4 linked regions of the Schizosaccharomyces pombe genome follow. Changing the gene in region 1 together with any one later gene gives a genetic interaction. Each region holds a gene or a part of one and is shown in the gene's direction. Other genes may lie near its edges. The genes, in order: cdc15, imp2, bgs1 and rng2.

Region 1 (7,786 bases):
CACAAACTGCGTAAAAAGGCGAACAAAAATTGAGGGTTTGTTCGTTCAATCCTAACGAAGACAAATTTATGTTCTTTGAAATTGGAAAAAAAGTCTGAACACCATTGAAACGCTAATGACTCTTGAACAGGATTCCATGCCAAAGGGAGCTGCAGCGTACCCAAAAGCAAAAGCTCGGCAGAAACTTTCTCATCCAAAAAATTCAAGAACAGTGAAGTTTCGTAGGTGACTACCTCAGATAACAGGCGTAAAAGGATTTGGACAAGTTCAATGCAATTTAAATTACTTTTTTCATATATTTTCGCATAATTAACAAGCTCTTCGCTATAATCCTTTAAGCTATCAACAGAAACTACAGGATTGACATTGAACTCTCTTATATCAAACATCGATGTTGGGGATAGGATAATATGAGAAATGATGGAAAGTTGCGGTAAAGGATTTCTCCAAAGAACCCAGAGAAAGTCCAACGTAAAATTAGTTTGCCTTAACTTGTAAGCATTTGTAAAGATTGTGAAGAACAGTACAAGACTAGGTGTACCCGTTATCATAAATTTAGGATTATCGAACATAGAAAGCATAGCTTCCCAATTTAGGTTTTCAAAAGAGGAAACGATAGCTTTACCCATCAAAACAGTGTCCCAAGCACCATAATCATGTATAGCTACAAGTGAATTTATAAGATAAGCAACATCAGTCTCAGTAGCCGTTCCCGGGGGATATTTTTTAAGAATTGCTTCTTTCATAGACTTAAGTGTAGCTTTGGAAGCTTTCATCGGACCAAACAAAGCTGTAAGAGGGCGTGAATTCGCCAACTTTTTCTCAATTATAGCATCAAACTTTGGAACTTTAATCAAGGGTATTCTGTCATAGTCGGTGGTAAACAAACCTTCCCTGAGCAAATCCAAATCGTTTTTATCAATACTTTGTTGCTGAGTAGGATCGGATAGTTGGTTTAAAAGAGATTGGAATGTGTTTTTAAGCAAAGCAGAAGCTTTCTTTGCTAAAGTAGGTTTAACAGAAGTGGTAAGTCCAATTAAAAGGTTAGTCCTTTCTAACGGGGAGAATTGGAAATGGTCTAAAAATGCCTCTATATCGAAATCTTCAAATACTTCAGAATCAGAACCTGAAATAGCATCACTAAAACGTTTCGCCATGACCCAAGACTTCGTGAGAGATTTTAATTCATCTAGTAGTAATTTATAAGTAGCTAGTCCATCAGAAGATTTACCGGTACCAAAAATACGGTATGAATTTCCTTGAATTAGACGGCGAAGAAAATGGTGGTATACTCTGGGTGCATTTTTGTTGATAAGTTGACGAATCTGTTCAAGTTTCGTATCATATTGGTCTTCCCGTAAGGTCGACAATAAGAAAAGGATTTGTGCTTTAACAATACTTTCAATTTTTGAATCGTTTGGTGGAGGGGTCTTAGAATCTAGTGATATAGGATGCCCAGATTCAGAAGTTGAACTAGATTTCTCTCGTGTCTCCGGCGTTTGTTGTTCTTGGCTCTTCATATTTTTAACGCTTTTCTATTACCATGCCTTTGTGAGGCTATTATTATACTCCTATGCTATTTTCAGCTGATATATTCTTTGAATATTTACAGATGAGATGCAGCAGTATCTGCTAGCAAGTTTGAATGAAAATAGGTGCAGTGGTGTTTTGCAAAAGATATGTCGGTCCTCCTCACTGCCAGGCAGTCTAAGAAAGGATCGAACATTAAATTTAACGAGACTGTATCTTTCGTAAACTTTTTTAACAAAATTTAAGGATAGAGTTAATTTGCAGTTGCTTATTGTGCACTCAGATAGGCAACGGTTGCTAGGGACGGTTGTCACCGCAGTAGTCGCAGTAAACAAACATGTTTACTCTTTTCCTGAAATCGACTACCAGGAATTTACCAACAACAAATCACAAATTTTGCTGCATTTTGTTCTTTCAATAACAAAATGGAGGTTAATGGAGTCTCTCAATCTGAAGCGGCTCCGTACGTTACCAAATCTTCTGTTAAGTTCCGCGATAATTTCTGGGTATGTGTAAATTTGCTGTATTTAGTAAAGCAAAGTTATGTTAACAAAATCGTTGCAGGGATCTGAAGATGCGGGTATGGATGCTCTTATGTCCCGAACAAAATCTTCTCTTTCCGTATTAGAATCAATTGATGAATTTTACGCAAAGCGGTAAGTATGGTTGCCTCGTTTGGAAGTTGCAGCTCTACCTTAAGCGCTACGATGATTCAAGAAATATGTTTTTGGTCGTTTCATTGTCATTTAAGATGTTTTACAGATAATCGTGGATTCTTAAGATAGCTTGTGTAATGAACCGAAGGGTTCGGTATGATTATTGATTAAAGTCTGACTAACTAAATTAGTGCTTCTATTGAGCGTGAGTACGCATCTAAACTGCAAGAGTTAGCTGCCAGCTCAGCAGACATCCCAGAAGTTGGATCAACTTTAAATAATATTTTATCTATGAGAACTGAAACAGGGAGTATGGCCAAAGCGCATGAAGAAGTCTCACAACAGATAAATACCGAATTGCGAAATAAAATTCGCGAGTACATTGATCAGACGGAGCAACAGAAAGTTGTTGCAGCCAATGCCATTGAGGAATTATATCAGAAAAAAACGGCTCTCGAAATAGACTTATCCGAGAAGAAGGATGCCTACGAGTACAGTTGTAACAAGCTGAATAGCTACATGAGACAGACAAAAAAGATGACTGGTCGTGAATTAGACAAATACAATTTAAAAATCCGTCAAGCAGCGCTAGCAGTAAAAAAAATGGATGCGGAATACAGAGAAACAAACGAATTACTTCTTACAGTTACTCGGGAATGGATTGATCGTTGGACAGAGGTCTGTGATGCTTTTCAACATATTGAGGAATATCGTTTAGAGTTTCTCAAAACAAACATGTGGGCCTATGCAAATATAATATCTACTGCTTGTGTAAAAGATGATGAATCTTGTGAAAAGATTCGACTCACACTCGAAAACACTAACATTGATGAAGATATTACTCAAATGATTCAAAACGAAGGTACCGGAACTACAATTCCCCCTTTACCCGAGTTTAATGACTATTTCAAAGAAAACGGATTAAATTATGACATCGACCAGCTCATTTCTAAAGCTCCTTCTTATCCATACTCCTCTTCGCGTCCCTCAGCTTCTGCATCTTTGGCAAGTTCGCCAACACGTAGCGCTTTTCGCCCCAAAACTAGTGAAACAGTTTCATCGGAAGTTGTATCATCACCACCTACTTCACCATTGCATTCACCAGTTAAGCCAGTGTCTAATGAACAAGTTGAACAAGTTACAGAGGTTGAACTTTCTATTCCCGTTCCTTCTATACAAGAAGCTGAATCCCAGAAACCAGTACTTACAGGGAGCTCAATGCGTCGACCTTCTGTAACATCACCAACTTTTGAAGTAGCTGCTCGTCCTTTGACTTCAATGGATGTTAGATCCTCTCATAATGCCGAGACTGAGGTACAGGCTATACCCGCTGCAACAGATATATCACCCGAAGTTAAGGAAGGTAAAAATAGTGAGAATGCTATCACGAAAGATAATGATGATATTATTTTGAGTAGTCAACTTCAACCTACTGCTACCGGAAGTCGGTCATCTAGGTTGTCTTTCTCTCGACATGGACACGGGTCTCAAACTAGTTTGGGATCTATCAAACGAAAATCAATAATGGAGCGTATGGGGAGACCCACTTCTCCCTTCATGGGTTCTAGTTTCTCTAATATGGGTAGCCGAAGTACCTCACCTACTAAAGAAGGATTTGCTAGCAATCAACATGCCACAGGCGCGTCTGTCCAGTCTGATGAGTTAGAAGATATTGACCCCAGAGCTAACGTTGTTTTAAACGTTGGACCCAACATGCTTTCTGTTGGAGAGGCACCAGTGGAATCCACATCCAAAGAAGAAGACAAAGATGTACCCGATCCCATCGCTAATGCAATGGCTGAATTAAGTTCGTCAATGAGAAGACGCCAATCGACATCAGTTGACGATGAAGCGCCTGTTTCTCTTAGTAAGACGTCTTCTTCTACAAGATTAAATGGCTTGGGCTATCACTCTCGAAATACTTCTATAGCTAGTGATATAGATGGCGTTCCCAAAAAGAGTACCTTAGGAGCTCCTCCAGCCGCACACACTTCTGCTCAAATGCAACGCATGAGTAATAGTTTTGCTTCCCAAACAAAGCAGGTGTTCGGAGAGCAACGAACCGAAAATTCAGCTAGAGAATCCCTTCGTCATAGTCGAAGCAATATGAGTAGATCTCCTTCTCCAATGTTATCGAGAAGAAGCTCCACCTTGCGCCCAAGCTTTGAGAGGTCTGCATCTTCTCTTAGTGTACGCCAATCTGATGTCGTTTCGCCAGCACCTTCTACAAGGGCTCGTGGGCAATCAGTGTCTGGTCAACAAAGGCCATCTTCATCTATGTCGTTGTATGGTGAGTACAACAAATCTCAACCTCAGTTGTCTATGCAACGTTCTGTTTCTCCCAATCCGTTAGGCCCTAATCGTAGATCGTCATCAGTCTTACAGTCACAGAAATCTACTTCATCTAACACATCAAACCGAAACAATGGTGGTTATAGTGGATCGAGACCAAGTTCAGAAATGGGTCACAGATATGGGTCTATGAGTGGAAGGTCCATGAGGCAAGTTTCCCAAAGATCCACCAGTCGCGCACGGTCACCAGAGCCGACTAATAGAAATAGCGTTCAATCAAAGAATGTCGATCCACGAGCTACTTTTACGGCTGAAGGAGAGCCAATTTTAGGATATGGTAAGTTCATTAAAGAGAAACTTTAAAAATTTTTAATTTTACTAATTATAATTCAGTTATCGCACTTTATGATTATCAAGCTCAAATACCTGAAGAAATTAGCTTCCAAAAGGGCGATACATTAATGGTTCTTCGCACACAAGAAGATGGATGGTGGGATGGTGAAATTATTAATGTTCCAAATTCAAAACGTGGTTTATTCCCGTCGAACTTTGTTCAGACGGTATAGACACTGATTACCCTCTTTTCTAGATGTTTACACTTGCATTCTTTTTCGCGTGGTTACTATCTCTTACTAATCCGTAATTCCTTATTTTTTTTTTGATGACTTAACGCGAAACGACATGCTTTTTTTTTTTAAATTCATTTCTCGTCATGGTCTAAGCTTCGTTGCATTGCATAGGTATTTATACGCATTTATTTTGATATCTAAAGATTTCTGTTTTAAAGGAAATACACATAGAATCTAGTTGATTGGAATATATTTTATTTTATTTTATTAACAATGTTTGACTCCTTTGTCCTTTGGCTATTGTAAGACGTAAGAATAACACTAATTGTTTTTGAAGATTTCGTGCATTTCAAAGTTTCATATGATTTTTACATCAATTTCAAAACCGATTTTAGTAAATTAAAATCAAGGTACGATTTGGTATGTAGCTTTGACAAGATATAGCTAAATTGCTAATTTTTATCAGTAACTAGAGGATAAAGTTGAATAAACCAAAAATATAACACGATGATGAATTTGCCTGCTCAAAAATATGATATCCGCAGATGTAGGATTCTGAGCTTTACTTTTTAAAAAGAAGCCGACCGATAATTACCAGAAAATGCATTTGTGGATAAGGTATGTTTGAAGAGTGCAAACCCAGATTTTTTGTTTGGCTATAGATACAGTGTGCATCAACTAGCTTGTAAACATGAGTGTTAGGAGATATGAATAGATGCTTATAAAATGATCTGATTGAAAAGAAGTCTCGCTAGCCTGAACAGATAAGATTATTGATTGAGGTATAAAAAGACATAAGACCCTGATTTTGCAAAAACACATGCGTGCCTTTATATTTACATACCTACTTAGTGAAAAAGCTACAGATTTTGTTATTTGCTTTAACGATACAATGAACTGCGGTGAGTTTCGCTTATGAGCTGTTTATTCTATGATACTTTTGAATAATAGAGGTAACAGTTGCTATATATATTGTTATATGTAGGTACTGTTGTAATTTGTCGCTGAGAAAGAACTGAAGAACGAGGATCTATTTATCGTGTATTATTCTTAATAGCTTATATTTTATTGTATTGTTAGCAAGATCTATCTCATGTTCGTATTATCATGACACGATGTGCAAATTGAATGAATGAATGAATAATGATATGTAGCGTAATGCAGTATTACTGACACATACACTGATTTTACACAGTATCTCTAAAGCCGTCAAAAACAGAGAAATTAATTATCGTTAAATTATTTAACGCCATAAATAGAACTACTGCCAAATTCACCAGAATATCATAAATGTAATAACGAAATTTTTCACCAGAACCTTCAATTTTATTGATAGCGGCCGTGATAATTGGTTTTCCCGCACATTTTAGATTACTTAGATCCGATTCATTGGCTGTATCCGTAGCCTTCGGTTTAATTCAGGAAATGCAATTGGTGCGCTGTTAAAGGTAAGGAGCGGCTTCCTCGGTTAAATGACGAATGTCCTGCGTTCCTTTATTTATTTTATTTACATCTTCTTTTCCTTTTCCTTCTTTACTACACATGTCAAATTAATAGCCACTAGCTTGACCGATTAGAGAGAATCCAACTTTTTTCTTTCTCTTTCATTCCTGTTGTTTTGTATCTGTCTACACTTGTTCGTTTTAGCGGTGCGGGATTTCCAAGTGTATTAACGGGTGTCTGTTTGTGAATAGTTTTTTTTTTTGTCTCGTCTTAAGGCTCCTTCGTTTCTAGTTTTGTAATATCTTTTTTTGTATTATTTGATAATTGTTTTCATTTGTTGAGAAAGTACTTGATATTAGCTTCTTGTTCTGTTCGTATTAGTGATTACTTTTAAATTTTTTCAGCAATTGTGCTAAAGTGCCTAATTAATGTCTTATTTATCGAGATCTGCACTCGCTCGGTCAGTCGGGGCTAAACACCTTACTGGGGTATTGAGAAAAATCGGGAGAAGGGGAGGAAGATCGATGCACGTTCTCCCTCTCGCTTCTCCTAGTACTCTTTTAAAAATCTCTTCTCAAACTTTACGTCAAGATTTCACCGTTCTGGGCGCTCGTAATTTTCATTCAAGTTCCGTTCGACTTAATGAATTGACGGATAATTTGCGTAAACTAGATACTATTGAGCGAGAGGTCGAGGATGTGGATGTGTGTATTGTTGGTGCTGGCCCTGCGGGACTTAGTGCTGCCATTCGTATCAAGCAACAAGCTGCCAAAGCCAACAGAGACATTCGTGTCGTGGTACTTGAAAAGGCTGCTGAGCCCGGTAACCACAGCGTATCTGGGGCTGTAATTCAACCTACTGCCTTAGATGAACTACTTCCTAATTGGCGTGATGACCCACCTGAAAACTGTACTGCTGTTACTCACGATAAAATGAAGTTCCTGATCCCAAAATTGCATTTCCCTATTCCTGTCCCTCCAGCCATGAAGAACCACGGAAATTATGTTATGAGTTTAGCAGAATTTACCAGATGGCTAGCTGCAAAGGCCGAAGAATATGGAGTTGAAATATATCCTTCTTTTGCTGCTTCAGAGGTCCTCTACAACAAAGATGGTTCTGTTATTGGCGTTGCCACTAATGATTTTGGTGTCGATAGTAAGGGTTTGCCCAAAGATAATTTCGAACGCGGCATGGCTTTTCACGCACCTGTCACCTTATTTGCTGAAGGTGCTCACGGTTCCCTATCAAAATCTATTATTAAGCGTTTTAATCTTCGAGGAAATTGTGAACCTCAAA
Region 2 (4,991 bases), on another chromosome or scaffold:
CGTGCATGGAGAAATTTTTCGGGAAATACCCCTCAATCACCACAAATAAATTCTGCTGCTTTGAAAGTGGAAACAAAGAATAGCTGGACAGCAATTTCTGAAGAGACTGAAGGACTTCAAGATGACGAAGAGTATAATGGTATTCCTGTCGATGTAAACGAATTGTTAAACGTAGAATTCATATCGCAAATACCAATGAGTACGGAAACAAGCTCCAGTTCAAGCCCGCAGCCTACGGAGGAACGGAAAGCAAAGTTCAAACCCAGTTTTACTCAAGGCACATTCGTCTCAAAGCGCATGCGTATGCATGCGGAGGATTTATTCTAGAAAATAGAAGAATGCAATTGATAAAAAAGAACTACACTTCTACAATTTAGAATATCGCTTTTCATATAAACAAGGTATGACTGATGTTAAATTTATCCATTTTTAACTACCCGTAATACTATTATACTTTAATGACAACGATTTTTGTTTTCTCTTTCATCAAGCATTGTATTGAATAACTTATAGACGAAGAATGCTATTGCTGCTGTGCAAACTGGCTTTATCAATTCGATATATAAACAGTTTTCGCCATGCATGGCTAAGATCGTAAAGTTCAGCATCACAAAAAGTTGGAGGATCATGTTTTAAAAGTGAGTATAAGTACTTGTAATTTTAGACACTACATTTTAGCAGGGGCTTCATCGGCTTTCGCCTCAGCACTTCTCTTGGAGTCGGCAGTATCGCTTTCCGACTTTACTGCTTTTCCAACGTCATCAAAAAAGTTGTTAATTCCATGTCGCACACGTTCAATACCATAAACAATCTTGTGGTCGGCTTTACGAACGTCTTCTTTACCTTCGCGTTCCATTATTTATAATTTCAGAGGATGTACAAAAAATTCAAGGTTGGTCGTATTATCAAAACTTCGCAAATGTATAGGGACAAAAGCAATTAATAACTTTAATCTCACCTAGTGTTTAAGTGTGATAGAATGAGTATTTATCACCAGTTGTTTTGTTAAAGAATAAACCGCCGAAGCCGGGCGGCTGCTGTATATATAGTAAACATATCAGCGTCCCTACCGCCAACCCATGACGTAAGTCGGGTTATTAAGAAATGCGATCTCGTGAAATAAAAAATAAGATTGAAAATAATGGAAATTGGAAGAAAAACCGAGAATTACAAGGGCGTTTTGTATGTACCTGATAAATGAATATGTTTAATCTATTTGACTCACATAAACGTTGTATTTATGTTTTTTTTAGTGTTTATTTATTTTTTCGATTAGTGTATTTCACTAAGTAAACAAATTATTATACGATTTTTTATTCACATCGAATGATGCTGCAGGTACAAATCGAGCTATCTAAAAAATATTACTTTTCAGTACGCCTGAACCGCTTGCATAGTATATTAAGTTTTTGATTAATAGCATGTTGCATTCCATTCAAAAATTTAATATTTTACATAGTAAAACGATTTGAGACGGGAGATAGCTATACAGAACGTGAAGTCTGCAAATACATACATGCTAAATCATTGTTTTATTAGCATAATGTCTAAGTCTATAAGTTCGCTTACCGGAGTTTATGGTAAGTATTTTTTTTCAGGACTGCCTTGGGTCGCTTCTCAAATCACAGTATTCACACATAATCAATACAAAATAGTGAGCAAAACTTGTGCGCTTAACAGAGATAACAATTATAGAGTCTCAAGGATGAATAAAGTGGACTTTGAATGAATCAATTGTTCACCATATATATCTCAGCATTTGAAGGCTTTTTATCTTTCCACTGCAATATTCTATTGCTTTTTTTTGATAGTTTAAGGCTGAAAAATCTTCATTACATCGGTTTTCTTGATAAATTTGTTAATTGTTGACATGAAAAGCTGCACCTGGCAACGCGTTGCCGTTTGTTTACCTCGTTGTTAGTTTCATTTACAATCAACACCACCACCATATACGAATAAAGAATACTGCCATAAAGGCGAGATTGAAAAATCTCTTAATTCGTGTTTTTTTCCGTTTACATGTCTCAACAATTAAGCTTTAATGCATCTTCAGCAAAGCCTGATAAAAGTTTTTCAAATTACTTTTGGGTATGGTGTCTAAGCCAACGTGGATAGCTCATTATCTGCCAAAACTTTCGATTTTTGTGTTAAACACAACACCTTAACTAACATTCTTTATTAGGGTGCAAATGATGAGGGTTATCATGCTTTACTTTCGCGTTTTAGCGATGTGAAACACATTAATGAAGAGCTTCGGTCGTTTTATCATGAAAGGTGAGAAATTTGAGGTGAAGCAGGGTTTAACATGCTATGATCGTTTATTCTAACTTCAACCTTAGAGCGAACATTGAAGAAGATTATGCCAAGCGAATGGCAAAGTTGTCTCGAACAACCTTCAGTTCTTTGGAAACTGGTTGCCTCAAAGAATCAGTCCAAGTTATGAAAGCTGAAGTTGACAATATGGCAAAGTCTCATTTGCAGATTTCTCAGTTGCTTCAGGATGATGTCGAAAATGCGTTTACGCGGTACGCTGCCTCTTTAAAGGACAAGAAAAAGATGATCGTTTCGGGGATAGAAAAAGTTCATAAGGATAAACTCTCCAAGCATCAAGCTCTTGTTAAAGCTCAAGACAAATACCATTACTTGTGCAAGAAAGTAAATTACTATGTTTCTCAGCAAAACATGCTTTTCGGAAAGGAGCTAGAGAAGAACAATGCGAAATTAAACAAGACTCAGAATGCTATCACTGCTAGTTCTTCTGACTATCAATCAGCTGTAGCAGCTGTCAGAGATTCATACGCTCGTTGGACCAACGAATGGCGGTCAACCTGTGACAAACTTCAGGACATTGAAGAAGAAAGAAGACATTTCCTGAAAAGCGTCATGTGGACATTTACACTACTTATCTCTCGTAGTTGCTTTAATGATGATCAAGCATGTGAACGAATTCGCAAAAATCTTGAACAGTGCAGTGTCTCTCAGGATGTTTTGGAATTTATTGACGCAAAATCTACAGGAACGGGAATTCCTCAACCTCCAAAATTTTATGACTATTATAAGGGCGAGGTTCCCGATGATTCTGTAGAGTTGGTTCAGGCTAATTTTCAGCGGGCCCAAACCAAAATAGAAAATGACAACATGCCATTGAATCGTCCATACGTCCTTTCTGCCACCGCTCGTAATGAGTCGTCCTTCGAAAATACCCTTCCTAATACTCCTAGTGCAATTCAATCGCTTACCACTGTTTCTTCTAACTCTTCCCAAAATGGTAGAAGCTCTCCAAAGAAAAGCTTTTTGAGTAAGTTTAAATTAACGAGTCGTCCTTCGACTCCAAACGTTGGTAATACGGCTCCGGATGCATTATCAAGTCCGAGAAATGACTCTCCTTTAACTTCAGCGGCTGATGAACAGATGAAGCATCTTTCTTTACAAGAAGAGCCAAAACAGAATCCTACGCCTGCTGCTCCTGGTGCCTTCCCTAACTCTAATACACTACCACCAAGGTATAACGAACTTGGTTCTCTACCAAGTCCTAATTCTGTTTCTTTCACCGAGGACTCCCGCCCAAATGTTAACACTCCATCACGGCGTCAACAAATTCAGGAAGAATTTGGTAGTGTACTACAAATGGAGAATCGTGCGGTTTCACCCGTTTATGATTCAAGAAAGAATGGATCTCGAAGTTCATTCACATTGAGGAAAAGTAGGTCACCAAAACGTCCTTCCTCTTCCCTTTCTCAGAATGCCAGCCGACTTCCTCGTTCCTTAACACCAGGAAATTTAGAGCCAAATTATGATTTCGGTGTTCGAGTTGATCCAGCAAGTGGTACTGCACCTACCGATGACGAGCCTTATACTGATCGGGACTCTTCCTTTGTTGATGATACAATAAATACAAAAGCTACTGGAAACACGTCTAACCGACTTTCTTTACCTGCATATCCTACAGACGGCGGTGACACCAGTATTGATAATCCAACAAGTACAGATGGTCAACGTATTCTTGGTTATGGTATGTCTAATCTGTCCATCGCTATTACAATTACTAACTTGAATTTAGTATCTGCTTTATATGATTATGATGCTGCAATACCCGAAGAGATAAGCTTCAGGAAGGGAGATACCATTGCAGTTCTTAAGCTTTATGAAGACGGCTGGTGGGAGGGATTTGTCGTTGGAGAGGATGACCATAACCGTGGGCAATTTCCGTCAAATTTTGTTCGTGAAATCGAGGTTTAGCTTTCGTATTATAGTTTCGCATTTTCTCATCTTTTCTCATTCTCATTTAAATCTAAAATACTAGATTTCTAATTTTGGTTGTTTTACATTATAGGATATTTAGAATGCTACACGTTTAGTTAAGTTATCTACATTATAAGATTATTATCTTATAAATCTTTATGAATTTTGCAGATTAAAATGATACCGATTGTTATATATAGCATTATGTTCAAAATGATTGAATTATTGTCATTCATTGCACCATTTTCTACCTAAATATTTCTAGTAATTCTCGTTTGCTTCTAAAATTCTGTAATAACTTAAAAAACATCAAATCTTTACCAATCTAAGTTAACACACAGGTCTATAATAGCTTCATGTATAACTAATTACTATTTCCTAGTAAGCTGTGACAACGTGGCCGAGTGGTTTTAAGGCGTTCGCCTGCTATTCTGTAGCCCAGCGGATTCCCTTTGGGAGCGCAGGTTCGAATCCTGCCGTTGTCGATATCTTTTTTAAGTTGCAAAGCGATTCACTATAAATTTTTGCGGTTCTATATTGGAAATCGCTATTCACTGTTATTTTTGTTACTTAGCAAAGTGGTTTTGTTGTTATAACTAACGTCTCCAACGATAAAAGACAACAATCTGCTTGTATTACTATAAATGCAAGATTCTTCCTCTTACGCGAGGCGTATGTTTTCTTTTTTTTCTTTTGACTAATAAGTTAACAATAAGTTTAGGGTATTCACAGGCACCTTCTTCATCTAA
Region 3 (9,217 bases), on another chromosome or scaffold:
AAAACTTGTAAAAACATTGCCACGTTTTCTGGTTGTTGACCTTCATCACCTTCCCTATAATGTATTCACTTTACATTGAAAGGATATGACAGAAAAGGATCAGAAAAACGGGAAATATGAAACATACAACGTGACAAGCATTTTTAGAATCAAAAATCATGACCACCACTTTAGCATCACACAAAACGGAGAGTTCATGTGCTTTTTTTATCAAGCCAAGTCGTCGACGATTAAAAGTAAGAGCCTTATTTTTTGCATCGGAAATACGCTGTATCTAAATGGTACGTTAGCGAGGAGAAAAGGGGTGTATGAATGGAACCAAACCACTATGTAGCACATACAGAACGGCGAGGAGATGAAGGAGCAGTACTAGGAGGAGGATTAATATCCATAGTTAGAGTCCAAATATTTAGGTAATAATATAAATAAGAAGTAGAAAAAGAGCGACAATTAAGAACCAAAATAGTAAAAAAACAACAAAAAAAGGATTAAAAATTAAACCAATTGACTAAATCAACCGAGGAAATTCAGTGAAGTCTAGAAATAAAAATTAGGAGAAAAGGGAGAAGGAAAAAAGGGCGCAAAGAAAGTGAGAGTTTCGACTATTCTTATATTCTTGTTTCGTGATTATTGACAGTGTAATAAAAATCAAAATTAAGGGAAGGCAAAGACGCATGCAAGGAAGTGCAAAACTTAAAGGTTGAAATACAAAATATGATTATCCGCTAGATTCACTTGAATGTATCAGCTTGACTTGAAATGCAGCAAAACAGTAATGGGTACCAAAATGGGATATAATCTAAAGGGATAAGAATACAAGGAAAATGTCGTTAACGTTTTGGGTAGACGAATGAAAAAACCTTTTAATGTAGAAAAAAGAGATAACTTTGGAAGAATTTTAAAAAAGCAGGCAAATATTAGGATATCATTCAATCGGCTCCTATGACTTGAAGTCTAACCCAATACTAAATGTGCAAAAAAAAATAAGGAAGCCGATCACCAAAATAAATGGAAACCAAATAAAAAAAAGCCAAGGATGAAATTCAAAATATTCAATTTGAGACTTTCAAAATGTAAACAAAGCGACAATAACGGCAATGTAAAGTTTGCGGAGACAAAAAATTTCACCTTTGAATATAAATAGAAACACTGAATAGGCAGTACGGAAAAAAATTTTTCTTAAATCAACCCCAGACTTGAACCAAAATATAAAAAATGTGAAATTTGGATGAAAAAGAAGCGTATACAGCGTATCAGGAACGTATAGTTTGTAGGAAAAAACGCTGGATTTATCCTTTTCAAAATCTCGTGGTAAATGTACTGAGCCTTTCTATAAAGCCCACCCAAGCCCTGTAAGGTACCGGACGAAAAAAGTCTCGCTACAGGGGGTTAAGATGATAAGAAAGGCTAGGGTGCTAGATTATTTATCTAATAAGGTAGTGTAAAGAAGTAAAACAAACTAGAGAAGTAGAAAATATAGGAATTAATGAAATGGAGAAAATGAAAAGAGCAGAAGGTGCGACAATAGAAATAGTTGTAGTCAAATGATTGTAAGAAGTTGTTTAAGTGTGACAACTAAATAGTCATCAAAGATTTAAAAGAATATCGCTGTAATAGTCGATTGATAGATAAAAATATTTACAGGATGTGTTTGTTTTTGGGGTATTCGTAAGGGAAATTGCCCAATCCAAGTCTTAACCAGAATATGGAATGGAAACCTTTTCCAATGCCGGCACATTGTTTCTTCCTTTGGATTAACCAATTGCTTTTAAATTCGTACTCGGTTGTCTTTTCATCTTCTTTAGATCCTAACCAGATTTGTTAGCATTCAAATCCGTACTTTTCCCACGCATTCAATACCCAGACATTGTGCGTCTATGATTTTCCCAATTTTCGGGATTTGCGAAAAAAGCCCAATGCCTAGTTCTCTTCATAAGCTCTATACTGTAATAATCATACCTTTGCTAATTGGGATTCGGTACCTTCTAGCTTTGTATTATTTTTACTATTGTTTACCACCCATGTAGACAATCACATATTAGAAATTAGTTTAACAATTCCAAAAAAAAAGAACACTCGTCGCTTATGTTCACTGTAACTGAATTATGGTTTCAGCTACACTTTCTTGACTTTTTGTAGTTTGTTTACTTCTTTTCCAATTCAAATATAGCGTCCTTAGTTTGGTTAAAAGTATCCATCTAAAACGGTAGCTGGGTATAACGATTGATAAGATGCTACACAGTAGCTGCTTATAAATTCTTTCTTTGTTTGACCGGCTATGGCTTTGCTTTGTATGGGGATGGTTTTTTAAGCCTCCTTGTGCCTCGTTGGTGAGTAACCTGAGCCTCCTACCACGCCAGCCTCTAAATTGCTTACACTAAAATAGGCCTCAATAATGTGCACTACCCTTCCCCATTTCGCTGTTAGTTTTGAAAGAACCGGAATGAGTACAACTTGCAGACAACAAACTAGGAACTGGTGGGTTTTGGCTATTTTCACCGTTCTCTTAGTGGAATTACTCTAAAATTTTTGAAAATATATTGATTAATTAGAGTAAATTATCCTTTTTAACGTCAAATTTTTGATTCTGTTGCACGGAATTAATTTTTTCTTCCTTCTTATATATCTATCATTGGTTCCTTCTTTTCTTTTTCCTCTCTTTTTTCCTATTAGCCTCCATACAAAAAGGTTGACTCCATCTTAACATTTGCCAAGTTTTCTTGTGTGATATTATCTTTACGTTAGTTGCTCCATCACTGCTAAGTTTTCGGTGTGTGCAAGATCACCTTTTGTCGTAGCATTGTGTTTGTGTGGACGTTTGGCGTTTGTCCCGGGTTCCTCTTACCCTTTCGCTTCTCTTTTCCTTCCATTTTCCCATCTCCATTTACTTTTTTTTCGCTTTGAGAGATTGTAAATAAGCTTCTGCATACGACAATTTAATTGTTCAATCTAAAGTTTATGTGGAAAGCGATTTTATATTTTCTCCTTTTCTTTTAAAAAAACGTCCTTCCTTGAATCGCTTTTTTAAAAATTTGGTCAGTTTCCTAGGTGTGCATTTGTAAGTACTTCTTTTGGTGCTTGCTGTTTTATGGTATTATTATTGTTGTTTTTATAATTATTTCTTCTTTTTTTTCGCCTCTTTTTTTATAATTTGCATACTGTATTTTTAGGTTCCGTTCATTCCCTTTTGAACCTCCGATATCTTAACTACTCTTTCACTTCGTGATCCCACCCTTTTTCCTACTTTTAGAGCTTTTTCCGCCGTCTTCTCTCATCCGGCATACATATATCACCCTTTTTTCTTCTTTTTAGGATTTGAAAAAGTCTTTTACTTTTTTCATTTCAATCAGCACAAATTTTTTTCTCTTCTACTCTTTTGCCCCCATTTTCCAAGGCTTAACTTCTTTCTTTTTAATCTTTTTTTCAAGGTCTCTTAAATTTATTTCTTTCTTTTGAACATCGTTCCTCATTTGCTAGCATTCTTTCTCACAAATTCCAACTTTTCTTTCTTTCAATTCTTCTTAATTTAAGCATTAAAATTTGTCCTCTCTCCTTCTTTTGAGTCTATTTATTCATCATGGATCAGTATTGGCGTGAACAAGAGGGTCGTGGACTCTTTGAAGATGATGCCAATAGTTATGTCTCTGACGATGATACTATGAGCTCTCTGACCCGTATGATTTACGATAAAAACTCTTCTCGTGATGCATTACATTCTGATTATGATAGCTCTTCATTTAATGTCGATTCCAGTTCAGTTGCTTATCCGGCTTGGAATCAAGCTGGTGAAGAGGCTCCTGTTACTATGGAAGGTGTTCAAGAGATCTTGTTGGACCTTACAAATAAACTTGGTTTTCAAAAAGATAACATGCGTAACATTTTTGATTATGTTATGGTTCTTTTAGATTCTCGGGCATCTCGTATGTCTCCTTCCTCGGCACTGCTTACTATCCATGCCGATGTCATTGGTGGTGAACATGCAAATTTTTCAAAGTGGTACTTTGCTTCTCATTTTAATGACGGTCATGCCATTGGATTTCACGATATGTCTTCCCCAATTGTCGAAACAATGACTTTGAAAGAAGCTGAACAGGCATGGAGAGATCAAATGGCAGCATTTTCACCCCATCGCATGATGGTGCAGGTGTGCCTTTATTTTCTTTGCTGGGGTGAAGCTAACAATGTTCGTTTTGTTCCCGAGTGTCTTTGTTTTATATTTGAATGTGCTTATGATTATTATATCTCTTCGGAAGCTAAAGATGTCGATGCTGCTTTGCCCAAGGAATTTTATTTAGACTCGGTTATCACCCCTATTTATCGATTTATTCATGCACAGCTGTTTGAAATTTTGGACGGCAAATACGTCAGACGAGAAAGAGATCATTCTCAAATCATTGGCTATGATGATATTAATCAATTGTTTTGGTCCTACAAGGGCCTTCAGGAAATCATGTGTGCTGATAAAACTCCGTTGTTAGATTTACCACCGTTTATGCGATATCGACATCTTTCCGATGTTGAATGGAAATCATGTTTTTATAAGTCCTATTACGAGTATCGTTCTTGGTTCCATAACGTTACCAATTTCTCACGTATTTGGGTAATGCATATATCTGCTTACTGGTATTATTCGGCTTATAATTCCCCAAATTTGTACACCAAAAATTATCACATCCGCTTGAATAATAAACCTCCTGCTTCTTGTCGTTGGACAGCTTGTGGTTTAGCTGGTGCTATAGCTTCTTTTATCACCTTGGCAGCTGTGGTTTTCGAATATATACATGTTCCTCGTCGTTATCATTCTGCCAGAAGGTTGTGGCCGAGTATGCTGTTATTGATAAGTACGCTACTTCTAAACATCGCACCTGTTGTTTTCATATTTGCTTCGTCTACGAAAGAGCAGCATTATGCTTCTCGATTGGTTGTAGGAATTGTGCATTTCTTTTTCTCGTTGGTCTGTGTAGTTTACTATTCGATTACGCCGTTACGAAATTTGGTTGGTTTCACCACAAAAAGGTCTGGAAAAAACCTTGCTAACAGATTTTTCACCGCCAATTTCACTCCGACCTCAAAAACAGGTGCTTTCGTTTCTTGGTGTCTTTGGATTACAGTTTTGGTGGCCAAATTCTTGGAATCTTATTTCTTTTTAACTTTGAATTTGGCAGATTCTATCAGATTTTTGGGTGCTATGCGACCTTATGACTGCCGTGATTACATTTTAGGAGCTGGACTATGCAAGGCTCAGCCTAAAATTCTCTTGAGTTTACTGTATTTAACTGATCTTTCTCTGTTTTTCCTTGATACTTATCTATGGTACATTCTTATCAGCACTATCTATTCTTTGGCTTATGCTTTTTGCCTGGGTATCAGTGTGTGGACTCCTTGGAGAGAATTGTTTTACCGCGTTCCCAGAAGAATATATACAAAACTGTTGTATACCGATGACATGGAGATTGTCTTCAAGCCAAAAGTACTTATTTCTCAAGTTTGGAATGCCATTATTATCTCGATGTACAGGGAGCATTTGATTTCCCGTACCCAAATTCAGGAGTTGTTGTACCATCAAGTACCTTCTGAAAAGGCAGGCTATCATACTCTTAGAGCTCCCAACTTTTTCTACTCCCAACAGGTTAAGCATTATAAGCAAGATTTGTTTCCGGCTAATTCAGAAGCTGCTCGAAGAATCTCCTTTTTCGCACAATCCTTGGCTGAATCAATACCCAAGACTAGTTCCATTGATGCCATGCCTACCTTCACTGTTTTGGTTCCTCACTATTCTGAGAAAATTTTGTTATCTTTAAGAGAGATTATTCGCGAGGAAGATCAACTTTCTCGCGTAACTCTATTAGAGTACTTGAAGCAGCTATATCCTGTGGAGTGGAGAAATTTTGTTGATGATACAAAATTACTTGCTGATGAAAATGATTCTGTTATTGGCAGTATCGACAATGAAAAAAATGGAGTAAATAAAGCATATGACCTTCCTTTCTATTGTGTTGGATTTAAATCTGCGACTCCGGAGTATACTTTGAGAACAAGAATTTGGGCCTCTCTGAGAACTCAAACTTTGTATCGCACTATCAACGGTTTCAGTAACTATAGTCGTGCCATCAAACTGTTATACAGAACGGAAACACCAGAATTGGTCGAATGGACAAATGGTGACCCTGTGCGATTAGATGAAGAATTGGATTTAATGGCAAACAGGAAGTTCCGATTCTGTGTCTCCATGCAGCGGTATGCTAAGTTTACCAAAGAAGAAGCCGAAAATGCAGAATTTTTATTAAGAGCGTATCCAGACTTGCAAATTGCATATATGGATGAAGATCCTCAATCTCGACATAATGACGAGCGCCATCTTTATTCTGTACTGATTGACGGTCATTGCCCCATTATGGAAAATGGAAAGCGTCGACCCAAATATCGTATTCGTCTATCTGGTAACCCAATTTTGGGTGACGGTAAATCTGATAATCAAAATATGTCTATTCCTTACATTAGAGGTGAATATGTACAAATGATCGATGCCAACCAGGATAATTATTTGGAAGAATGTCTAAAGATTCGTAGCATTCTTGCTGAATTTGAGCAACTTACTCCTCCCTTACATAGCCCTTACTCGGTAAATGCCAAAGCTGCTGACAATCATCCCGTAGCTATTCTCGGTGCTAGAGAATACATTTTTTCAGAAAATACAGGTATGCTTGGAGATGTAGCTGCTGGAAAGGAACAAACATTTGGTACTCTTTTCGCTCGTATTTTATCGTTGATTGGTGGAAAATTGCATTACGGACATCCTGATTTTATTAATGTTTTGTTTATGATTACTCGTGGCGGCGTTTCAAAAGCACAAAAAGGTCTGCATGTTAATGAAGATATTTATGCAGGTATGATTGCTCTTCAACGTGGAGGACGTATTAAGCATTGTGATTACTATCAATGTGGTAAGGGTCGTGACTTGGGTTTTGGCTCAATTCTTAACTTTACTACGAAAATTGGAACGGGTATGGCGGAACAAATGCTTTCAAGAGAATATTTCAACCTTGGCACACAATTACCGTTTGATAGGTTTTTGTCATTTTTCTATGCCCACGCTGGATTTCACGTCAATAACATGGTCATCATGTTTTCTTTACAGTTATTGATGCTTGTTATTATTAATTTGGGAGCAATGTACACTGTTGTTCCGGTTTGTAGATACCGCCAATTTGACTCCTTGACAGCTTCTTTGTACCCTGAAGGTTGTTATCAATTAAAACCAGTTCTCGAGTGGTTGAAGCGTTGTATTTTGTCTATTTTCATTGTCTTTGGTATTGCTTTTGTTCCACTTGCTGTTTGTGAATTAGGGGAACGCGGTGCCATCCGAATGGTTATTCGTTTAGCGAAACAAATATTCTCTCTATCTCCTATTTTTGAAATTTTCACATGCCAAATATATGCGCAGAGTTTAATTGCAAATCTTACGTTTGGTGGTGCACGCTATATTGGTACTAGCAGAGGTTTTGCTACTGTTCGTGTGCCGTTCTCACTATTGTATTCTCGATTCTCTGGACCATCACTTTATTTTGGGTCACGACTTATGTACATGTTATTGTTTGGTTCAATTACTGCTTGGTTGCCGCATTATATTTACTTTTGGATTACGCTGACTGCTCTTTGCATTAGTCCATTCCTTTACAATCCCCATCAATTCGCCTGGACCGATTTCTTTGTTGATTATCGTGAGTTTATGCGCTGGCTATTCCGCGAAAATTCACGCAATCAAGCAAATTCATGGATTGGCAACTGTCAACTTTGCCGTACCAGAGTAACTGGGTATAAACGTAAAATATATGGTAAGAAGGCAGATAAAATTGCTATGGATTCCCCGCGTGCGAGAATTACTACAATGTTTTATGGTGAAATATTAGGGCCTCTAGGAACACTATTTTTCACGTGTATTCCATTTCTCTTTATCAATTCCCAACCTGGTAACGATGATGAGACCCAATCTACTAATGCTTTTATTCGCTTGATTATTATGTCAGTTGCTCCTTTGGTTTTAAGTGCAATTATTGCTTTTTTCTTTTTCTGTTTAGGAATCATGTTACGTCCTATTCTCGGCGATAGATCTAAAACGTATGGTGTATATTTGGCTGGAGTGGCCCATTTCCTTTTTGTGTGTGTTGATGTTGTTGTCTTTGAAGTATTGGGCTATTTGGAAGGTTGGTCATTTTCAAAAACTTTACTTGGATTTGTAGCAATCATTTCAATTCACAGGTTTGCTCATAAATTTTTTATCATATGTTTCCTGTCTCGAGAATTTCGTCATGATGGTGCCAATTTAGCTTGGTGGTCTGGACGTTGGAATGGCCAAGGTTTTGGATATATGGTTTTAACGCAACCATGGAGAGAATTTGTGTGTAAAACTACAGAGTTGAATATGTTTGCTGGTGATTTCCTTTTAAGTCATCTTTTGTTGTTTTTGCAAGCGCCTGTTATTTTGATTCCTTATATCGACAAACTTCACTCGATCATATTATTCTGGCTTGTGCCCAGCAGACAAATTCGACCCCCAATTTATACCATAAGACAAAACAAACTTCGTCGTCAAATAGTTCTTCGCTATGCCACTTTGTACTTTTCATTGTTTATTGCCTTTTTTGTTCTTTTAATTTTGCCTTTTGTGTTTGGTAAATCAGCTGCTGGAACTTCAATGGATAAATTTAATCTGATTCAGCCAGCGACAAAGATTGTTTATTCTTCAACAAAGAATTCTTCTGTCTAAAGCATTTTATTTTTTTTTAAAGGATTTGTGTGATGTGGATGCTTATTTCTCATTAGAAATGCTCTCAATTAGGGTAAATAATAATTATTATATTTGCATTTTGTTAAATAAAAAATGACTTGAGTGTTGATTAAGTATCTAGTACTTGAGAATATATTATCTAAATAAGTAATGAAGAACGATTGATGGTTAGAGCAAACACAAACTTAATGTCTGTTACATGAGAAAAAATTATTGGTGCACCGTCTGCCCGTAATGTGATATTGATTATGTTATTACGTTCACATTTACAAATCGCTTGAAGAGATAAGGCTAACGGATTTTGAAACGTTTTGTTTAGCATCTTTAGTACGGTGGTACTCATCTGAAAGTTTCTTCATAAGTTCCTTGTGAGTGATGTGTGGGTGTAGCTTTCGTAGTCTCTTAGAATTCTCCTTTAAAAAAATTTGA
Region 4 (8,767 bases), 1.2 Mb from region 1:
TTTGTAATTTCGTAAATGCGATATTTATGGGTTTATTAATTTCTTAAGTATAAGTAATACACGAGTGCAGTCAGCATAGCCAAATAATTAATTTTTAGAAAACAGTTATGAATTTCTATTTGAAACAAAGTACGATTGAGAAGCGAATTGTTCACTTGTCCACCGTTTGTATTTGTATATTATTTGCAAAAGAATAAAACGCAAGATAAATGTTAGCCGAAAATATAACGTTAGCAATGTTATTCCTTTTAATATTCAAGAATTGGTCGATCTTATCATACGAGAAACGTGAACGTATGATACAAAGCTATTCCCAGCTAATAAATAAATTTTTCTATGAATAATAATTTATTTATTAATCGTAGATTCAGAATTTAATTGAAATATTATAATAGCTCAAATAGAAAAATTCCTAAACACACGTACAATAAGATACGTTGCAACGCGTTAACACACTGTCGCTCTAACTAAAGCTATCTGTTTCATTTAACCATAACCAAGATACTTCGATAATTTTCCGCTTAGTCGCCTCACAAATAGGTTAGTGCAATCTTTTTTCAAAACCCTCACACTTTGTAGAAACTCAAGAAAATGTCCTTTGATAGAAAAGATATTGGTATTAAGGGCCTCGTGTTGTACACTCCCAATCAGGTATGTTATAAATGAGTCGCTACTTTATTTCAAAACTTCTCCTCCAAATTATTTGCATGCATTACCTACATCTTTTTTCAATAGTACAAATTTACGCAAGCTTCAGAGGAAAGTAATAGAAATACTTTCTCATTAAATTCCTTCAGAACCTGATATTAATCGTTTTTACCCTATAGTATGTTGAACAAGCTGCCCTCGAAGCGCATGATGGAGTCTCTACTGGAAAGTATACTATTGGCCTCGGCTTGACTAAGATGGCTTTTGTCGACGATCGTGAAGACATTTATTCCTTTGGTCTTACCGCTCTTTCTCAACTTATCAAGAGATACCAAATTGATATAAGCAAGATTGGTCGTTTGGAAGTTGGAACTGAGACTATCATCGATAAATCTAAGTCTGTCAAAAGTGTTTTAATGCAACTTTTTGGGGATAACCACAATGTCGAAGGTATTGATTGTGTTAATGCCTGTTATGGTGGCGTGAACGCTCTTTTTAACACAATCGATTGGATTGAGTCTTCTGCTTGGGATGGCCGTGATGGTATAGTTGTCGCTGGTGATATTGCTCTCTATGCCAAGGGCAATGCTCGTCCTACCGGTGGTGCTGGTTGTGTCGCCCTTTTGGTTGGTCCTAATGCCCCTATTGTTTTTGAACCTGGTCTACGTGGTACTTACATGCAACATGCTTACGATTTTTACAAACCCGATTTGACGAGTGAATACCCTTACGTTGATGGCCATTTTTCTCTTGAATGTTATGTTAAAGCTCTTGATGGAGCATATGCTAATTACAATGTTCGTGATGTTGCTAAGAATGGAAAAAGTCAAGGACTTGGATTGGATCGTTTTGATTATTGCATTTTCCACGCTCCTACTTGCAAACAAGTCCAAAAAGCATATGCGCGTTTATTGTACACCGATAGCGCTGCTGAACCATCTAATCCCGAGTTGGAAGGTGTCCGTGAACTTCTTAGCACCCTGGATGCTAAGAAATCCCTTACCGACAAGGCTTTAGAAAAAGGTCTTATGGCCATAACTAAAGAGCGTTTTAACAAACGAGTTTCCCCTAGTGTCTATGCCCCTACCAACTGTGGTAATATGTACACTGCCAGTATTTTCTCTTGTTTAACTGCATTACTTAGCCGTGTCCCCGCTGATGAACTTAAAGGAAAACGCGTCGGTGCTTACTCTTATGGTTCTGGTTTGGCTGCCTCGTTTTTTTCATTCGTTGTCAAAGGCGACGTCTCTGAAATTGCCAAGAAAACTAACTTGGTTAACGATTTGGATAATCGTCATTGTTTAACCCCTACGCAGTATGAAGAGGCTATTGAGCTACGCCATCAAGCACACTTGAAAAAGAATTTTACTCCCAAAGGAAGCATCGAACGTCTTCGTTCAGGTACTTACTACCTTACTGGTATTGATGACATGTTCCGCCGTAGCTATTCGGTGAAGCCTTAAATCACCGAAAAAAAGATTAGAATGCAAACTAGATACTGTTAAAATCTCTTTTAGTAGACTTTTTTTTGATACATGAATATGTGATTTTGACAACTTTTTTGTTAATTATTTAAAACTCATACGTATTGTAGTCTTAAAATGAATAACCTTCATTTGTAATAGCATAACCTAAATAATTAGAGTAAATTCGTCACTAACGGACAGTATCTTGAATTAAACTACTTACACCTAAAAACCCCCCACTCATCTTGATAACCCACATTTTCTTTGTCTGAGTAACAGCTACTCTCCACTAACATAGCCGAAAAATTGTGTGCAGTTACTTTATCTAGTTTGAGATCGAATGCTGAGTAGGTAGTCATCAGAAGTCTCAATGGACGTAAATGTGGGATTATCTAGACTTCAATCTCAAGCTGGGGCACCTGTTGGCACGAAAGGGTCGAACACTCGTTTAGCAGCCAAACAAAGAGAAACCCTTCAAGCATATGATTATTTGTGTAGGGTTGATGAAGCAAAAAAATGGATAGAAGAATGCCTCGGCACAGATCTAGGACCAACGTCTACATTTGAGCAGTCGCTGCGAAACGGAGTTGTCTTGGCTCTCTTGGTTCAGAAATTTCAACCCGATAAACTAATCAAGATATTCTATTCTAATGAACTCCAGTTTCGCCATTCAGATAACATTAATAAGTTTCTTGACTTTATCCATGGCATTGGGCTTCCCGAAATTTTTCATTTCGAACTGACTGACATTTACGAAGGGAAAAATTTACCCAAAGTTATCTATTGTATTCATGCCCTTTCTTATTTCCTTTCTATGCAGGACTTGGCACCCCCTTTAATCAAGAGTGATGAAAATCTATCTTTTACTGATGAAGACGTTTCAATAATAGTCCGTAGACTCCGACAATCTAATGTAATCCTTCCTAACTTCAAAGCTTTAAGTGCCGATTTTATGCTTCGTGCTAGTCCTGTTTCTTCTCGCACTCCTTCCCCTACACGATTTCCCAAGCATGCTCGTTTCCAAACCCTAAATTCATCAGATTCTGCATCTATATATTCGTCTCCTTATACTTCTCCTACTTTAGAATTTTCGAAGAAAGATGCTAGCGCTCGTTCAGACATCCTTAAGATGCACAGAAGGACGAAATCAGCGACACCTTCGTTAGAACAATTTAATGAACCATATAAACAAACTTTGCCTAGTCATTCAATCGAATTCGAAGACTCTTTTTTTCAACCCCCTTCTCAAAAGGGACATATGCAACGATCTTTCCTCACAACATTTTCAGCACCCACAAGAAGACGGGAGGCACTATTTTCTACCACTTCTGGACTTAGTCAGCGTAGCCCTGTCGATGAGAAAATCGTGAACGCGATTCAAGCTTGTGGTCGTGGCGTACTTGTGCGCTTGCGTTTGGTGGATATGTTACAATCCCTCGTGGAACAAAGTTCTTCTGTCGTACTTCTGCAAGCCGTAATTCGTGGATATATATCTAGAAATACATACAGAATACGAAAGAAAGCATACGATGAACTTGTAAACTGGGTTACTTCTATTCAATCCATCTCTCGTGCATATCTGATACGTGCACAATACCGTAAAGTGGTTTTACAGGAGGAGGCAACGAAGTCAATCCAAACGTTACAAAGCATTATTCGTGGGGGTTTCTATCGTCGTAAATACCACTCGTTAATAGAGAGGCTAGACTTATTTACACCATCATTTGTGTTAATTCAATCCTCAGCTTTAGGATTTCTTACCCGTCATGCAATAGTTAATATGCTTGACAACCTTTACAACTATATCCCTCTCTTTAACCGGATGCAAAGTATACTGCGTGCAAATATGTTTCGGAATGAATGGTCTAACTTTCTAGATTCCGTACAATCGTTTCCCGTTTCTTTTCACTCTATTTGCAAAGGACGCTTGATAAGGGATTCTATAAACAGATTAAATGGATCACTTCTGGGAGAACTGGATAATTTTATTAAACTACAAAATTTATCTCGAGGATTTATGATTCGTCGGGCATTTAAAGAGAAATTGGAGAAATTAAAAGCATCAACATCCTCTTTCATTGCTCTACAGGCAATTGTTCGGGCTTTTCTTTTAAGAAAAAACTTGGAAAGCATTTATGATTCTTTTCAAAAATCGCACCTATCTGTCATTAAAGCCCAATCTCTTTATCGGGGATTCATTACTCGAACCAAAATTGATTATTGTAACGACTATTTGTTAAAGCGATTACCAGATATCGTGTTTATGCAATCTGCAGTCCGTGCAATTCTTTTACGAGATGATGTGAATTATACTGAAGTTCAGTTAGATTCTTTTATTCCTGAAATTGTATTGTTACAATCTTTAATTCGTGGGTATCTATCTCGAAACAAATTTTCAAGAAAACTTCAAAATTTTCATAAGAATATGGAGAATCCCATAGTTGCGAAGTCCATTTTTAGGGGTCGTCAAGAAGGGTTGGCTTATAGAGAACTTGCTACGGCCAAAAATCCACCTGTTATGACGGTCAAAAATTTTGTTCATTTATTAGACGACACCAATTTCGACTTTGAGGAAGAAGTATTGCTTGAAAAAATGAGAAAAGAAATTGTGCAACAAGTACGAGACAATGAAGAAATTGAAGTTCACATCAATGAACTAGACGTGAAGATTGCTTTGTTGGTTAAAAACAAAATCAGTTTGGATGATGTTTTAAAACATCACAACAAGTATAAATTTGGAAAGCAAAGCACTGAATATTTAAAAATTAATACTCTGTCTATGAAGTCACTCAACAATTCAAGCAGAAAATTTTTGGAACTTTATCAGTGTTTTTTCTATGTGTTACAAACCAACGAAATGTACTTAGCAAATTATTTTCAAGCGCTAAAAACTGAGGGCACTTCCTCTGTAAAGATCCGTCATGCTGTTTATTTAGTTTTGCAAATTTTCGGCCATGGCTCTAACCGACGAGAAGAAGTACTACTTTTGAGATTCATTTCCCAAGTCATTAAGCTAGAAGCAGCTTTAGTTAATTCATCTCAGGATCTACTTTCTGATGACTGTGTCTGGAAATTACTGTTCACTGGATATCGTGGGGACGTTCGTGAAGTGAAGCTTTGGAAAACTATTCTCGGCCGCATTCACAAGGTTTTAGTAGCCGACAATCATTTGGATTTTGAAATCAATCCGTTGACTCTATTTAAAAGTTTCAATCCTGAAGTTGCCAGTCAAACTGATAGTCCAAAACTCACTTTGTCGTTAGCAATGCAACACCCACCGACAAGAAATCTATACGTTAGCAGACTTCGTGAACTTCGAAAACTGTGTCAATCATTCCTAGTAGCACTTTCTAAGAATATTGAAAATATTCCTTATGCTTTATGCTATACTGCAGCACAATTGAAAAATAGCTTACAACGATATTTCCCCGCTGCGCATAAAGAAGAAATTTTTGGCGTAATAGGGAAATTTGTTTATTGGGCTTATGTCGCTCCTGTACTTGTGTCACCCGATAACTTCAAGTTGGTTGATGGCTCTATTACAGCTCTTCAACGAAAAAACCTTTACACATTGTCAAGCATTTTGTCTGAGATCTTTTCAATCGAGTCCTGTGACTCTAAGCAACTTGGTTTTTTTAGACCACTCTCCGAGTTTATTGAGGTGTCCAAGCAGGATACCATGTTGATGCTAGAAAGGCTTGTCGATGTGGTTGATCCAGAGGTGTACTTTGAGTTCGATGCTTTTGAAGACCTTGTTAATACCAAGCGGCCAGTAATATACATGAAGCGAGACGATATTTTAGGCATTTATTCATCTATTGCATATGTCATAGATAGTATTGCTCCTCCTGATGTGAACGATCCATTACGCGCTGTTGTCAATAGCTTAGGTCCTGTTTCAGAGCAAGACAATGACTTTGTGCAAGATGAAACTGACGTCAAACTAGAATTGAATCCCAAATTTTGCACTATAGAAAATCCCGTTGCTCAGGAACGGACTCTTATTGTTCAGACAAAGAGATATATATTATTTATTATTCGAATTCAAAATGGCCTTAATCTTTTGGAAATACTTGTCAAACCGGTTACAGATTCAGACGAAGCAGCATGGCAAAATTTATTGGCAGAAGAATCTGAAAAGAATGCAAGGAATTATGATTTGTTTGATGATTCTATCTTTTCAATGTCATTTGCAGAACTGAAATACACTGCACTAAGCAATATAGTGGAAATGGAAAAGCTTGGATTTGCAAACCGACGGAATAATTACCAAGATATGGTAAATTCTATCGCTCTAGATATCCGTAATAAGTCGAGAAGAAGGATGCAACGACAGCGTGAACTTGATGCGGGACATCAAAGTTTGCTTAACTTACGAGAAAAAAGAGCTTTCCTTGATTCGCAGCTAAAAAGTTATAACGAATACATTGAACAAGCTATGGAAACATTACAATCAAAGAAGGGTAAGAAGAAGCTTATTCCTTTTTCTAAACAGTATTTTCACATGCGAGATCTCCGAAAATCTGGACGCGTTCCTCGCTTTGGGTCGTTCAAGTACCCAGCTCTTAAACTCTATGACCGAGGAGTTTTGGTATCAATATCTCATATGCCGCAGAAAGAAAAATTGTATATTACTATATCAGCCGATGAAGTTGGCAAATTTATTCTGGAAGCAACAAGCCCGACAGTTAAAGTTTCGAGCCCAAGGTGTGAATTGCATTTGGACGACTTGTTGTCTGCTCAATATAACAAGGTTTTAACTTTGGATGTTTTGGATGGCCGTCTCAAATTAAACACCAATATGTTCTTACATTTGATTTTCTCCAAATTTTATTCATGAGACGTTTCACTTTGTTCATTTTTCCGTCTCTTTAACTACCCAATGATTTAATTCGAATTAACTTAAAACCGTCAAATATCTTTGCACATTAATACTTGTCCATATTCTTTTGGCGAAATATGTATACTATGTGATATTTTCTCCCCTTTAATTCTGATAATTTGCACAGTTTTCCCATTTCATTCACTTAGTGTGGGGGGTTTTTTTATCACTACTTGTGTTTACTTATACTGTACAAATCTTATTTAACTCGGTGTTATTTTTCAAATTTTTTTTTTCAACTAAAGCCGTTGAACCTGAAACACTAAATCAAGGAATAGGAATTTTTGGTTTATGCATACTAGTTGTACTTGGTAATTTATACTTTCTGAATTAGTTAAAGGTTTATAATTACAAATAACACTTTTTTATAACAAAATGTAATTTATGTCAATACATACATCTTTACTAATTCTTATAAGGCGATTCGATTGAGCATGATTATGTTCAAATTAACCTTTGGATATGGGTAGGTGTTTGGTTGACAAACTTCTTAAGCGTGTTGCATTTTAACGAAGAAAATTTGAATTTTCAAATCCCGTATAGCGTGTAAAAAAATATACATTAAACACGTATTATGAGCAGAAGACTACATAGACCTAATATGAAATAAAACGCACAAAAGAATATTACGCACAAATAATGGCGAGGGTCACCACCATACAAAGTAATATTCACTACCACAATTCAGCTGACAAATACCATTACCTAAATGGCGTCGTTACCACCGGGGAATCCTCCTCCACCGCCTCCTCCGCCTGGATTTGAGCCTCCTTCACAGCCTCCACCTCCTCCACCTCCAGGTTATGTGAAGAAAAGAAAAAACAAGACTCCAGCACAGTCTGGAAATCTTGAAAAGCAACTTAACGAAAGAGCACGCAAATGGCGCGCTTCTCAAAAATCAAAGTTTGGTGTCAAAAGGAAGCAGGGTTATGTTCAAACAGAGAAAGCTGATCTTCCGCCTGAGCACCTGCGCAAAATTATGAAAGACAGGGGAGATATGTCTTCTAGGAAGTTTCGTGCTGATAAACGTTCCTATTTGGGCGCTTTGAAGTACTTGCCACATGCTGTGCTAAAATTGCTTGAGAACATGCCAATGCCTTGGGAAGAATACAGGGAGGTCAAGGTTTTATATCATGTAACCGGTGCTATAACTTTTGTAAACGAGAGTCCTCGCGTAATTGAACCGCATTTTATTGCTCAATGGGGAACGATGTGGATGATGATGAGACGCGAGAAGCGTGATCGAAAAAATTTTAAGCGTTTGCGGTTTCCTCCTTTTGACGATGAAGAGCCACCATTTTCTATTGATCAATTGCTTGATTTAGAGCCGTTAGAGGCTATTAGAATGGACTTAGATGAAGAAGATGACGCTCCTGTTATGGATTGGTTTTACGAAAATAAGGCTTTGGAAGATACTCCCCATGTAAATGGTCCAACCTATCGTCGTTGGAAGCTTAATTTACCTCAGATGGCTAATTTACATCGTTTAGGTTACCAACTTTTGAGTGATTTACGCGATGATAATTACTTTTACTTGTTTAATGACAATAGTTTCTTTACGGCTAAAGCTTTGAACGTGGCTATCCCAGGAGGTCCGAAATTTGAACCTTTATACAAAGACGAAGCCCCAGAAATGGAAGATTGGAATGAATTTAATGACATTTATAAACTTATTATCCGACATCCCATTAAAACTGAATACCGGATAGCGTTTCCTTACCTTTATAATTCTAGAGCTCGAAGCGTTGCACTAAGTGAATACCACCAACCG

Evidence for each region.
Region 2: mutations in cdc15 (region 1) and imp2 are lethal when combined (synthetic lethality), as found in Schizosaccharomyces pombe (5 studies listed by BioGRID, with this or other methods).
Region 3: of cdc15 (region 1) and bgs1, changing one enhances a phenotype caused by changing the other (phenotypic enhancement), as found in Schizosaccharomyces pombe (4 studies listed by BioGRID, with this or other methods).
Region 4: mutations in cdc15 (region 1) and rng2 are lethal when combined (synthetic lethality), as found in Schizosaccharomyces pombe (3 studies listed by BioGRID).

What each region holds. Positions count from the first base shown.
Region 1 is NC_003424.3:1,397,056-1,404,841, reverse strand, and holds cdc15 (F-BAR domain protein Cdc15), read left to right. Parts: upstream 1-1,905; 5' UTR 1,906-1,955; coding exon 1,956-2,036; intron 2,037-2,094; coding exon 2,095-2,186; intron 2,187-2,362; exon of another isoform or gene 2,363-2,377; coding exon 2,378-4,815; exon of another isoform or gene 4,816-4,826; intron 4,827-4,871; coding exon 4,872-5,044; 3' UTR 5,045-5,642; downstream 5,643-7,786. Other genes in the region: CCR4-Not complex subunit Not1, read right to left, coding at 1-1,520; cir2 (electron transfer flavoprotein-ubiquinone oxidoreductase), read left to right, coding at 6,919-7,786. UniProt on the Schizosaccharomyces pombe protein: After the onset of mitosis, forms a ring-like structure which colocalizes with the medial actin ring. Appears to mediate cytoskeletal rearrangements required for cytokinesis. Essential for viability.
Region 2 is NC_003423.3:3,345,962-3,350,952, forward strand, and holds imp2 (F-BAR domain protein Imp2), read left to right. Parts: upstream 1-1,938; 5' UTR 1,939-2,019; coding exon 2,020-2,088; exon of another isoform or gene 2,089-2,182; coding exon 2,183-2,274; exon of another isoform or gene 2,275-2,339; coding exon 2,340-4,012; exon of another isoform or gene 4,013-4,060; coding exon 4,061-4,239; 3' UTR 4,240-4,491; downstream 4,492-4,991. Other genes in the region: SPOM_SPBC11C11.01 (U2-associated protein), read left to right, coding at 1-327; protein tam11, read right to left, coding at 668-856; protein Ndc80, read left to right, coding at 4,887-4,914, 4,964-4,991. UniProt on the Schizosaccharomyces pombe protein: Required for normal septation. Involved in the disassembly of the medial ring during septation.
Region 3 is NC_003423.3:2,350,604-2,359,820, reverse strand, and holds bgs1 (primary septum and spore wall linear 1,3-beta-glucan synthase catalytic subunit Bgs1), read left to right. Parts: upstream 1-2,456; 5' UTR 2,457-3,577; coding exon 3,578-8,767; 3' UTR 8,768-8,899; downstream 8,900-9,217. Other genes in the region: DNA-binding transcription factor, MADS-box Mbx1, read right to left, coding at 128-274, 342-392; SPOM_SPBC19G7.04 (protein-DNA covalent cross-linking repair protein), read right to left, coding at 9,055-9,217. UniProt on the Schizosaccharomyces pombe protein: Alternate catalytic subunit of the 1,3-beta-glucan synthase (GS) complex. Synthesizes 1,3-beta-glucan, a major structural component of the fungal cell wall. Required for the assembly of the division septum and maintenance of cell polarity.
Region 4 is NC_003424.3:2,643,033-2,651,799, forward strand, and holds rng2 (IQ motif containing GTPase activating protein), read left to right. Parts: upstream 1-2,395; 5' UTR 2,396-2,484; coding exon 2,485-6,954; 3' UTR 6,955-7,395; downstream 7,396-8,767. Other genes in the region: hcs1 (3-hydroxy-3-methylglutaryl-CoA synthase), read left to right, coding at 592-651, 828-2,111; U5 snRNP complex subunit Spp42, read left to right, coding at 7,706-8,767. UniProt on the Schizosaccharomyces pombe protein: Component of the contractile F-actin ring; required for its construction following assembly of F-actin at the division site.